Caenorhabditis elegans: one gene and its partner. The protein of the gene in region 2 purifies or fractionates together with the protein of the main gene of each other region. This does not show direct contact. Each region holds a gene or a part of one and is shown on either strand. Other genes may lie near its edges.

Region 1 (5,351 bases), on a different chromosome or scaffold from region 2:
CACCAAACTTTTTTTTTTCGTGATTATTAGGAAATTTCTTTTTGATATCACAGAAGTTTGTATGCTTCATTAAGCTTTCTACCTTATCTTCATGAAAACTTTGGAATAAGGAAATAATATTAAAAAAGAAGTTAATATTTACGTTGTGATTTATCAAAATTTGGGGTTTTATCGAAATAAATACATAAATAAATAAATCTGGGATTAGATTGCAAATCAGAAATGGAAAAATATTTTGTTTAGCCAAAGCCTTAACCTAAGCCCGTTTACACTTGAGCCTACGCCTTAGCCTGAGCCTAAGCCTACAACTAAGTCTAAACTAAGCCTAAACCTAAGCTTAAATAAAATTAAACAAAAAACGTTTTCAGGTTACTGAGCCTTTCCCCACACAGTACCCAACACTTATTCCCTACGCACGGGAGAGCAATCCCGAAGAAGAGCTTCAATTAGCCACTGCACCAACATCAAAAATTCGAAGTGAAGGGAGGATCACATCCGAACAGAAAATGGATTCCATCAGAGATTTCCGAATGAAACTGTACAAAGCTTTTAAAAATAGGCCGAAATTGTCGAGGATGATTAGAAAAAGTAATGGTGAGCAACTTTTAATAACTTTTAAAACTCAAATGTTTTAATTTTCTTCCAGTAAATGATGTAGTCGAAATGAATGATGGGTTTCCTACAATAATGGACAAAAACCGACAAATAATTCTCTCCAGAACTGAACCAAACTGGCAGTCATTGAATACTAGAAAACCTAATCAAACCTATGGGCGAGATCAGAATGGGAACTTGATTCCACTACTCGGGTTGGAACCAGCTGCGAATTTTGTGGATACAAAACAAGGGAGTCCAATAGAGTGATCATCAGTATCGCTTTGACTTTTAAAATTCTATAACTTTAGGCCTTACCCCCCAAGAGAGATTCGATATGCCTACCGTACTACGAATCGGCAGCCTGTTGTCTACGTTCCTTCTGCTTCACCCGTTAATCAGCCATCACATGCTTCGAATACTGTACCCGTGGCTGTCGCTTCATACCTAGTAACTGTATATTTTGAAAAACGCATTTAATCAAAAACTATTATAATAAAGCACGATATAAAATACCAGCATCTCTTTTCAGGCAAATCCATCATCACAACCAATTCAACTCCATATTTTGCCACCAATTCCATCTCCCCAGCCACAAATAATCTATCAACAAACGACACCATCAAGCCAATTTGTTGCTTATTCAACCTTTGCACCACCTATAGAGCCATCGAATGAATGTGGAAATGGTCAGTGCAAACCAGAATCGGATGAAGATAAATGCAACAGCCAGCGATTACGGGACATTATCTTCAATGTAAGTAAGTCCATGATTAACAGAATTCTAATTAAATCGAGTTCCAGAATATTGTTTCCGGCGATGCTGAAGCTTCCAAAAGAGCAGTTCAAAGTGCAGCTGAAGCTGAAACTGGTTTATTTTTTGATGCAATCTGCGGCACTGGTTTCTTCAGCTACATTGCACACACTGATGAGTTCTGTCTGGCATCGTCTGGTGGTGTCAACTGTTATGTTTTTGCACCAATCTGTCAAATTGATTCTCAAAATCAGCAGAAAAGGACTTCGAAAAAATTAGTTAAATTGAGCAAAAATTAATTCTTATTGAATAGCTCGGTCCACTTCTTTTCTACGGGTGAATGTTTAACAGAAATAAAGTTTTATTTCGGGTAAAGAAATTTACACTCGGTGGGCGCGATGGATGATGGACAGGGGGATAGGCAATAAAAGGCTTTTGATTATCAAATAAAAAATGTTCAGGAATTTTTTACCACGAATGTTTGCCATTCTTCTTCTGCATGGATCTCAATGGCTCTCCTTGAAGGTACGGGTTGACTTTGTGTGCTGAGCTTGGGATTGAACGCTTGCGACGTGGAACATACTCATCGGAGCTTCGCTTGTCATGGAACTTCTTTGCGATTGTGTTAGCGTGCATGTTGTTTTCTTCAAGGATTTTTTGGAGGGACTCACTGACGTCTTGAGCTTCTTTCTCGGCACAGCTATAACATTTACATGTTTAATTTAAATGTTCCACATCAAACTTACTTGAACATATGCTCCTGGTCGCAGATGCAGTGTTGATCTGCTTGGTAGTTTCTAGAAAACTCTGCACTGTTTTCAAACTCCTCCAAGCATCCGTGTTCCTTTGTGAACCCAACTGGGCATGGATTTGGTGGCTCGCAGTATGCGGGAAGAACGTTGTCTACTTTCACTTCTTGCCTCTCTTGGAAATTGTCCTCCTCAAGAAGTTTCTGTTCTCCCTCGCCAGCTCCACCAGAGATATGCTTGACTCCAAAAGAGGAGAGATCCGGAAGATTTTCAGAGTCACGTGAGATGAGATCAATGAAATCTCCGGATGGAAGAACAAAGTCTCCAGCCTGAAATTTTGAATTTTGAATAAGCTGACTAAATGTATACCTTTTCTTCAATTTTCCTTGAGTATCCTTAATCCGAAAAAAAATGGACTAGGAACACTAGATAATAATCTTAGTGTGAGTCATCACTAAAAATTTTGATTATGGCGGAAATAAATTTGCAATCCTTGAAACTCAACTTTCACAGTTTGAGGCTTTGGAGTTCATATATGAAAATTAATACAGATACCTTAATCGTTAAAAAAGTAATATTTGAAAATTTCAAAATCTATTTCACTTGCTCAGGAATTAGAAAAACACTAAGCCTACAAAACAAAATATGAGTTTACTTACGTTTTCCAAATCTAATCCATAGATAGCTGCAACTCCGACAGTAAAGAAAACCAAAGAAACGGCACCGATCATTCGGGCAACCGTGTTTGGTGCTGAAATGTGAATGCGTCGCTTTGGCTCTCCTGGCAGACGAAAAGAGAGCCGACTGCCAGAGTAGCAGACAGACGGTTATAGACCGAAAGGATTTTGAGGCTCGCAGAACAGCAGAGTAAAGACGCTGAAGAGAGAGGAGCTCATGTGCTCTTCTCCTCGCTCATGGCTGACGGCTTCGAGGAAAATCGATGAGCTGAAGGCGTTGTGTGAGTGTTTTGTGAGTTTTCATGTGAGTGTGTTCTCGCACGTCATTTTTTTGGACAAGATGGAGGAAGATGAAGAAGAAAAAACTGAAAGGAGGTCTAAAGCTCTTCTATTCGTTTCTATGATTAATACTTGGAAGTATAAAAAACAGGATATATTATGGGGTTTCAAAGATTTTGAGGACAACGATTATTGTACAAACAATTAATTTATTTTAAAATGAAACATTGTTTTTCATCGGATAAACATTGTAAAATGTCACAGCCTGTTTTTAACCATGTTCCATGTTCCATGTTGTTGTTGTGAAATAACTTGTAGTAATTCGCAAGTAAATTCACCCATGTTGGTTACGCAAATGTTGACTTTTTGAACATGTAATAAGTTCATCTGTTCAAACTATTAACTTTTTGAACTTTCCTTTGTAATCTCAGTTATCTTATCATTAAGTTTACAAGGTCTTCCGTTAATTCTTTACAAAGAAAAAAAATTAACCACCTTGATTGTAAGATTGAAAATTAAAAAAAAACGCAAGTGAAAATATCAATTTTCATCAAATTTAAGAAAATAATTAAAGTAAAGTTTTTTGTAACATCACAATTGTATTGACTACTCACATTGATCTTTGTGGAAGTGTTATGGATACGTACTACCGTGGGAACAAGCTGGGTTCTACTAATCTCAAAACTTATTTTATGTTTACATTTTGACTCGAGAGTCCTTCTTGACTATACTTTATTATGAATTGGATAGTTCATCAGCAAGGTTCATCGAACACTATGTTTTACAAGTGTCGTCCGCCAATAGAGTTTAGATTTCACAAACAAACTATTCTTGGTTTAAAGTATGATGGTCTGGATCGCAGTTCAAGAAGTGCCACCTCTACAATATGGGTTTACGATAAATGCGGTGAGTTTTGGAAAAATAGTATTTTCCTGGTATCTTTAATAGTTTACACGCTAAGCAATGTGCTAATTTCAAACCTGCTATCTCAAATACTCGTGAGCAAAGTTAAAGTTCCATCCGTACATGTTGCTAATTCAAAATGATCATTGACGTCTGCAACGACTTATTTCCCTACAAAATTTCCGTATTTCTCCCTCTATCACACGTAAGAAAAAGGGGTTGTCTATAGTATGACCTCCTTTATCAACGGCGATAACAGTCGGAAATCGGGTGAAAAGGAGGCGGAACATTCAGTTTCTGCACAAATCAGCTATTTTTGTCGCGATACTCTGAATATTTTTTGGCACTGATTGTAAAAAATTAATTTCGCACATTCGTTAACAAGTTTTTTTTTCAGAATTCGACAATATGATTGTTCCGTTTATGAGGCATAGACCAAGAAATTGGGATCAAGAGTCTAGATATACTGCACCGAGATTGATGTTGTGTGATACAGTAAGTGGTCATACTAAAGTTCGGATTCGAGATATAGGGTTTTAAGAAATATAACAAAAGTTTCTGAAAATATAGAATTTTATCAATGGTGAGAAGCATGATGTTGCACACGATTAGTTGAACAGTGACTTGACATTTTGATGCCTGCGTGACAGGTATGCCAGGTATGAGATGTTAGGTTTTAATTTTTAATCATACACAAAATGTTGAAAAATTCATTTTTCACTGCACGAAATAAAATTTGCTTTCCAACCATTTCGTTTTAGTAGACTAATTTTCATATTATAATGTATGCTTTAAACAAAAAGTATACTGTAAACAAAAATTTGTTAGAATTGTTTTTTTAATTCAAAACATTTTTTTGACAAATTTTTCGAAAACTTTTTCATGTCGGAATTCGGCGGAACAACTTTTCTAAGAATAGGATTTTAACAGAATACGTTGAAAAACAAACGCTAAAAACTCCTAGAACATTTATGAAAAATTATAGGAATCTCTTTTTTTATATTTCAGTAAAAAATTTTAAAAAATCAGGTAAAAACTTTTTTAGAGGAGGACTAACGATTTTGAAAGTAGACCCAAAATGAGCTCAAATGAGCAAATGTTTTACAGTGCATTTTTTTCCAACTTCTACGACTTTAAAGGCGCGCGCATTTTCGCGCAATGTTCTCGCCACGCGCATTCCATTGAATTGTTGAGCGCGTGGCGAGACCAATGACGGGGCCATTTTGTATAAATGCGCGCGCCTTTAAAGTCGTAGAAGTTGGAAAAAAAAACACTGTAATGAAACTTCTCAAAAGTGTTTCAAAAATGATTCAAAATTTCGAAAAAAATACACTGCTTTTAAATAGCTAAAATCTCGAATTGAGAATTATCATCCTTTATTGAATATTTTTGTAG
Region 2 (5,351 bases):
CTCCAGACTCCTTTTCTCCAACCCTGTTAATCAGCAGATATGCTTAATTTCTAGGAATATTATTTATCATCTACTTACAAAAACATAGCATTTTCAAGAGAGCTAAGCTTTTTTTCTAAATCATTTTCTAGACACAACGTGACATCACTGGTAGGCGTGCGAACCTAATTGAATATTCTATCGGAACTCTTTTTTTTGTTATCCCTTCCATAGCTTCTTGAATAGCGGAAACAGTTGTCACGCAAAAAGAGTCAGAATGAGTAAAGAATTTGATGATAGCATTCTTTTTGTTGAAAAAAGGGCAATGATGTAGATCAGACAACTTTTGGTGGTGGGGGAATTGTCAACAAGCATACACACATAAATATGACGCCATGGCGGGGGAGTCAATGCTGCTCGGAGGACGTATTTTTAGATGTAGTCGTTCTTTTTTAAGAGTGAGTGAGAGAGAGGAGAAGGAATAAATAGAATCAACTTTGGGCTACTTATAAGGGTCCGGGGCAATGATGTTAGAAGGTTTTTGTTGTCTTAGACTTGACCAAGTGGGTTTTGAAAAAAGAAGAAGAAGAAGAAGTATTTGATTTATGGCTAGTAGTGTCAAGAGTTCAATTTTATTTTGAAGGTTTACAGTTATTACTAGTCGAAATTAGCAACATATGCATACAAATTTGCGAAATTGTTGCATTTAATTTAGCTAATTTTTGCTAAAATTTTCAGATTGTCAACTTTCCACTACCTAGAACTTCTCACACCTTCTTGCCAGAAATCAAATTTCCGTGAGAATTTCTCGTGAAAATTGACCAGAAATTTATAATTCCCATAACTTTTTTCAACAAATCTAGCTCGAAAATCATTTGAGCAATCAAAAAGTTGTCAACAAAGTAATCAATTTAAATTCAGCAGAAAACAAAAAGTATAAACAGTATTTTAATTAAATAATTCCTAAAAACAAAAAATCTATCACAAACTTTCCTAATTTAGTTTACCATCCAAGCTACACATATTGCCTAAATTACTCTCGAAATACTTTAAGATATTTTATTATTTTATAGTTCAAAGTTATACTAATTTGAAGTCCTAGATTTCCTCAAAAAAGTCATCAATTTGGAACTTGTGAACTTCGGGATTAAAACTAGTGTCTAGGGCTTCATTAGCTCGTAAAACCAACAGGGTCTTCCTTCCTCATTCAGAAACATTTCCAATTTCCACTTTACTTCTTTTGATGCTCCGAGAGCTCAAAGAGAGGGAGAGCTCTGAGACTCCTCAAAATTAGTTTGTGCATTTTTAGAACGATCAAAGAGCCCTCTAGTGTATTGAATAATTGTCTTATAAGAATATTTACAACCTAGAAAATATAAAAAAAAGGTAGTGTGGAAAATAATAAGGAAAGCAACGAACGAAAAACAACAAGTATTTTAAAGGTACTGGAAAAGGATGAAGATGTGTGGTAAACAAAACCAAAATGAGAAAAAAATGTGAAAAAAAGGAAAAAAGATGGAAGAAATATGGGAAAACGACTACATTTTTGGACTCGAAATTGCTCTTTTTGAAGCGATCGAAGAGCATGTCCAATTTCTGGAAGAATTGTGAGAAATGGGGAAAATTGGAGAACAAATTGTGACGTCAGACTTCAAATATTCTGGTTAGAATCTTAATAATTGTAGAAAACTGTAGAGAAAATTGTCAAAAAAAGTATAGAAAAAACATTCCAAAATATTTTAAATGGAAATTTAATTACATGTGTATTCACTAAAAAAAATCTGTTTGAAACAAATCTGAAATTGATTTTTTTAAAACCATAGTTCGAAAGTCAGCCACCAATGCCATCAGATTTTTTATCAAGAAACAATTATTAAAAAATTCAAAATTTTGTCAGTTGATAATTTTTTATAAGTGAAGTTACAAATAAGTTATAAATGATTGAAAAGAAGAGTTTCAAAACAAAATCAGACAATTTTTTGATTTTTTAAATCTCAATTTTTATATAAATATCTACAGTCATTAACTTATTCGTAATTAAAAGGGGCGGTGGAAAGTAATAATGTTGGAATTAAATTAGGTTTAGCAACAAAAAAACCTATAAAAAAATTTTTCAACTGGCAATTTGAATGAAATAAAATTCGCAACATTTTGTCAGTGGACTTTTCTTTATAAAGTTTCAAAAAAAAAACGTTGGAATGTGGTGGGGACAAAAAGAGTTCATAAAATGTAGTCAAAATAATCAGAAACAGAACAATAATAAAATGAAAATTTGAACTCGAGAATACATGTGATTATAGAGAATTAGAAGAAAGATTACGGGTTAAGTCAGAAGGCGACAATTTTCGGGAAAAAATACTTCAATTTAAAAAAAAGTAAAAACCTACCGTACAAAAGAAAAGCAGATCCTGTAGAAATGGAGAATAGTAGTACAATAATTGAGTGGAAGAAGCGCATGCGGATGACACAGAGATGCGGCCCCCGCTACTCCATAGGGCGCTTGCGCGAAAAAATGGCGAAGAGATAGGCGGAGCTTGGAGCACACACACTCTCTGAGCTCTCTTACTCTCAGACGGCGCCGCCCTTCACGTCTCCGTCACTCTTTTTTCTTTTGACGTCTCCTCATCTCTTCCTCTCTCTCTCTCTCTCTCTCTCTCTCTCTCTCTCTCTCTCTCTCTCTCTCTCTCTCTCTCTCTCTCTCTCTCTCTCTCTCTCTTTCTATGCATCGATTGAATTCTGGAAGTGAGCGGTGTGGGGGAGTCAACGGACGACTACTAATAGTGGTAAGAAGCAGTTTCTGCTCCGAGCGAGCTGGTCACTTGTTTTGACGTTCTGAGCATTTGGTTGGTGCTTGAGAACACCAGGAGAGGGCTTCCTACGAAATTGGAGACTTGAATACTGATTTTTTTGTTGAAAGAAGGGGACAGCAATTATAGTATAACTTTAGAATTTGAAAGCAAAACGTAAGAGATAATTGTCCGTAATTATTTGAAATTATTATGTTTGAAACTAAATTCGCAACACTAGAATAATCGACATAGTTGCTGAAAGTTGGTATATCAAAATCTCAATCTATAGGATCACAAAACAAGATTAAAATTGTTCATTTTATCACGCCTACAGTAGGCAGAACTACATGCGTACATGTCTATCTTTTGCCTAGCTTCCTGCAAAGTATTAGAATCTGGAGCTTACGTGTTGGAACTGGAAGTTTATCTGAACCATTGTCACTTAAATGAAGACGTTTTAGGAGCTGCATGAGGCGTCTGGAAGGCAGGCATGGGTTTCATGGGCGGCGGGTGTTTGTAGGTTTCTTAAAAATAAGCACAGACAGCATAAAAAGTTTTCTATGGATTCCCGCCGTAGCTGAACGTTGTGATAATTTCAAAATTTCAAGTTCTCTTTTGATCATCAAGGCATCTAAAGTTCAAGAAACTTCCTAATACTTTATCTTCTGATAACATTTCTTAATAAACATTAAATATTGAGTTCAAAAAATAAATGCGCATATCATATGAGATTATTATCATCATATCTATGACGCTATCTAAAACCTATTTAGAATGGAAAAAGACATCGATGTTCAGATATTTGTGAGGTAAACAAATTGGAATGACATATTATTTGGGTATTCTAGAATAGACTAGTGATATACTACACTAATCACTCAATGTTAAACCATGTCAAATATTATTAGTGATTTGCACGTTTTTTGGTTATAAATGGCAACGCTTTTTTGTGGTGCTCTTTTTATATTACCATGGGGGTGGTTATAGGATTAAAAATGTTTTGGCGAGTTCTGAAGGCCTGTTAGCTGTTGCAAAAAGGTTAAAGTTTCACTCTTGCAGTCTCTTTTTGGAATTTTTTGAAATTTCCTGAAAAAAACATTTGAAAATCCTACAAAATATCTCCCATTCTAAAAATAGGAAATTGTGAAGGAAGCTCTTTCCCTCCCACCCATCAAATGTCACACATTCCGTTCAGCCCTCTTAATCCAGATGACCTCAAATAATACAAATCTGTGCTTCATCCTCTCTTCTGCATCACTCAATTTTTCATTGAGACCACTAATTTTCTAGTCACTCTTTATTCCTTCCTTTTCCAATTCGTCTAAAAGCTAGTCGGTCACCAAACCATAAATTTATGTGCGCATTTGGTGTTTCCATGTATTTTTTGTGTTGGTCAGGAAAAAGAAGACACCTGGCACCTCACAAGCTGTACAACTACGAAATAATGGGAAAAAACGAGGAAAATCAAATTGTGTGTATGTTAGTAGAAGAGATACAAAATGCAAGATTATATATTCAGAAAAATCAAAATTTCTCACTGTACTAATACAAAACCTTTCTGACTTTCTGCATGGGAAACTAAACAATATGATTTAACTCTGTTTATGGAAAAGTTTTAAGAAATCAGGGCCACACGAGGGTTTTTTCTAGAATAGTTTTTTGAACGTAGTCCATGTTGTTGGAGGCTAGAGAACGGTTTTAAAACAGACATATCAGAGCTCTGGAAAAATGTTTCAGAAATTTCGACCACATTGCCAACAATCCTGGAAGAGTTTTTTTTTCAATTCTCGGCCATATTACAGATTCCCAGAAAATATTTTTCAGAATTCCCGCCACGAGGCAGACATCTCCGAAATATGTTTTTCTAGATTTCCGGTCTCATCATTTGAGGAGTTTTTCGGAATTCTCGTTCATTTTGCTGAAACTCTCTATTGTCGGCCACGGTGTGGGTTCCCTTGAAAGAGTTTTTTTAGAGTTCTCCGCCACGTCTACATTTTTCTGGAAATTTTTATATAAATAAATCGCTGTAGTCACAGGTTCCCACAGAAGAGTTTTCTAGACTTCAACAATTTTTATTTTTCCCAAAACTTTTTCAAACTTTATTCAAGCTTAACCGATTTCATCTTCACTTTCTGAAATTAAAAAAAAATTCAATTAATTTCCACTTTTAGTTCAATTATTTTTCTACCACATCATGAGACTTTTCTGAATTTATAATAAACGGTCGTATATTTAACTGTGATTCTACTGCAAAAAAAAATACCAATTGATCAAAAAACAAAAATTGATGTCGTCACAATACAAAATTAAAGTTTCCGTTCGGAAAAACAAATCTTTTTCATGAAACCAAATACTCAACAAACGATCATCGGATTTTCAGACACGCTGACTTTGGTTAAGCTGAAAATATACGTTTTTTTTGTTGATATTTTTGTATCTGGGACTGGCGTCAGTTCAAAACTTTTCACGATTTGTAATTTAACACGAGTATATTATATATATAGTTTGCATCTAATTTTGGCAATAGCCGAGTCTCGGAAATTTCCGCAATTTCAACAGTGATATAATTTTACCGTGATCTTT

The links. The genes of interacting proteins can lie anywhere in the genome.
Region 1: the proteins of ida-1 (region 2) and sbt-1 fractionate together in Caenorhabditis elegans (co-fractionation; one large-scale study listed by BioGRID). This does not show direct contact.

The regions. Positions count from the first base shown.
Region 1 is NC_003283.11:20,826,021-20,831,371, forward strand, and holds sbt-1 (Neuroendocrine protein 7B2), read right to left. Parts: upstream 2,862-5,351; 5' UTR 2,829-2,861; coding exon 2,757-2,828; intron 2,427-2,756; coding exon 2,095-2,426; intron 2,049-2,094; coding exon 1,817-2,048; 3' UTR 1,695-1,816; downstream 1-1,694. Other genes in the region: grl-14 (Ground-like domain-containing protein), read left to right, coding at 369-594, 647-860, 906-1,050, 1,127-1,351, 1,399-1,647; num-1 (PID domain-containing protein), read left to right, coding at 3,791-3,959, 4,354-4,451.
Region 2 is NC_003281.10:5,752,680-5,758,030, reverse strand, and holds the start of ida-1 (Receptor-type tyrosine-protein phosphatase-like ida-1), read right to left. Parts: upstream 2,493-5,351; 5' UTR 2,437-2,492; coding exon 2,367-2,436; intron 1-2,366. UniProt on the Caenorhabditis elegans protein: Regulates dense-core vesicle (DCV) trafficking and/or secretion. Probably by controlling DCV trafficking, plays a role in the AVG neuron-mediated formation of the right axon tract of the ventral nerve cord.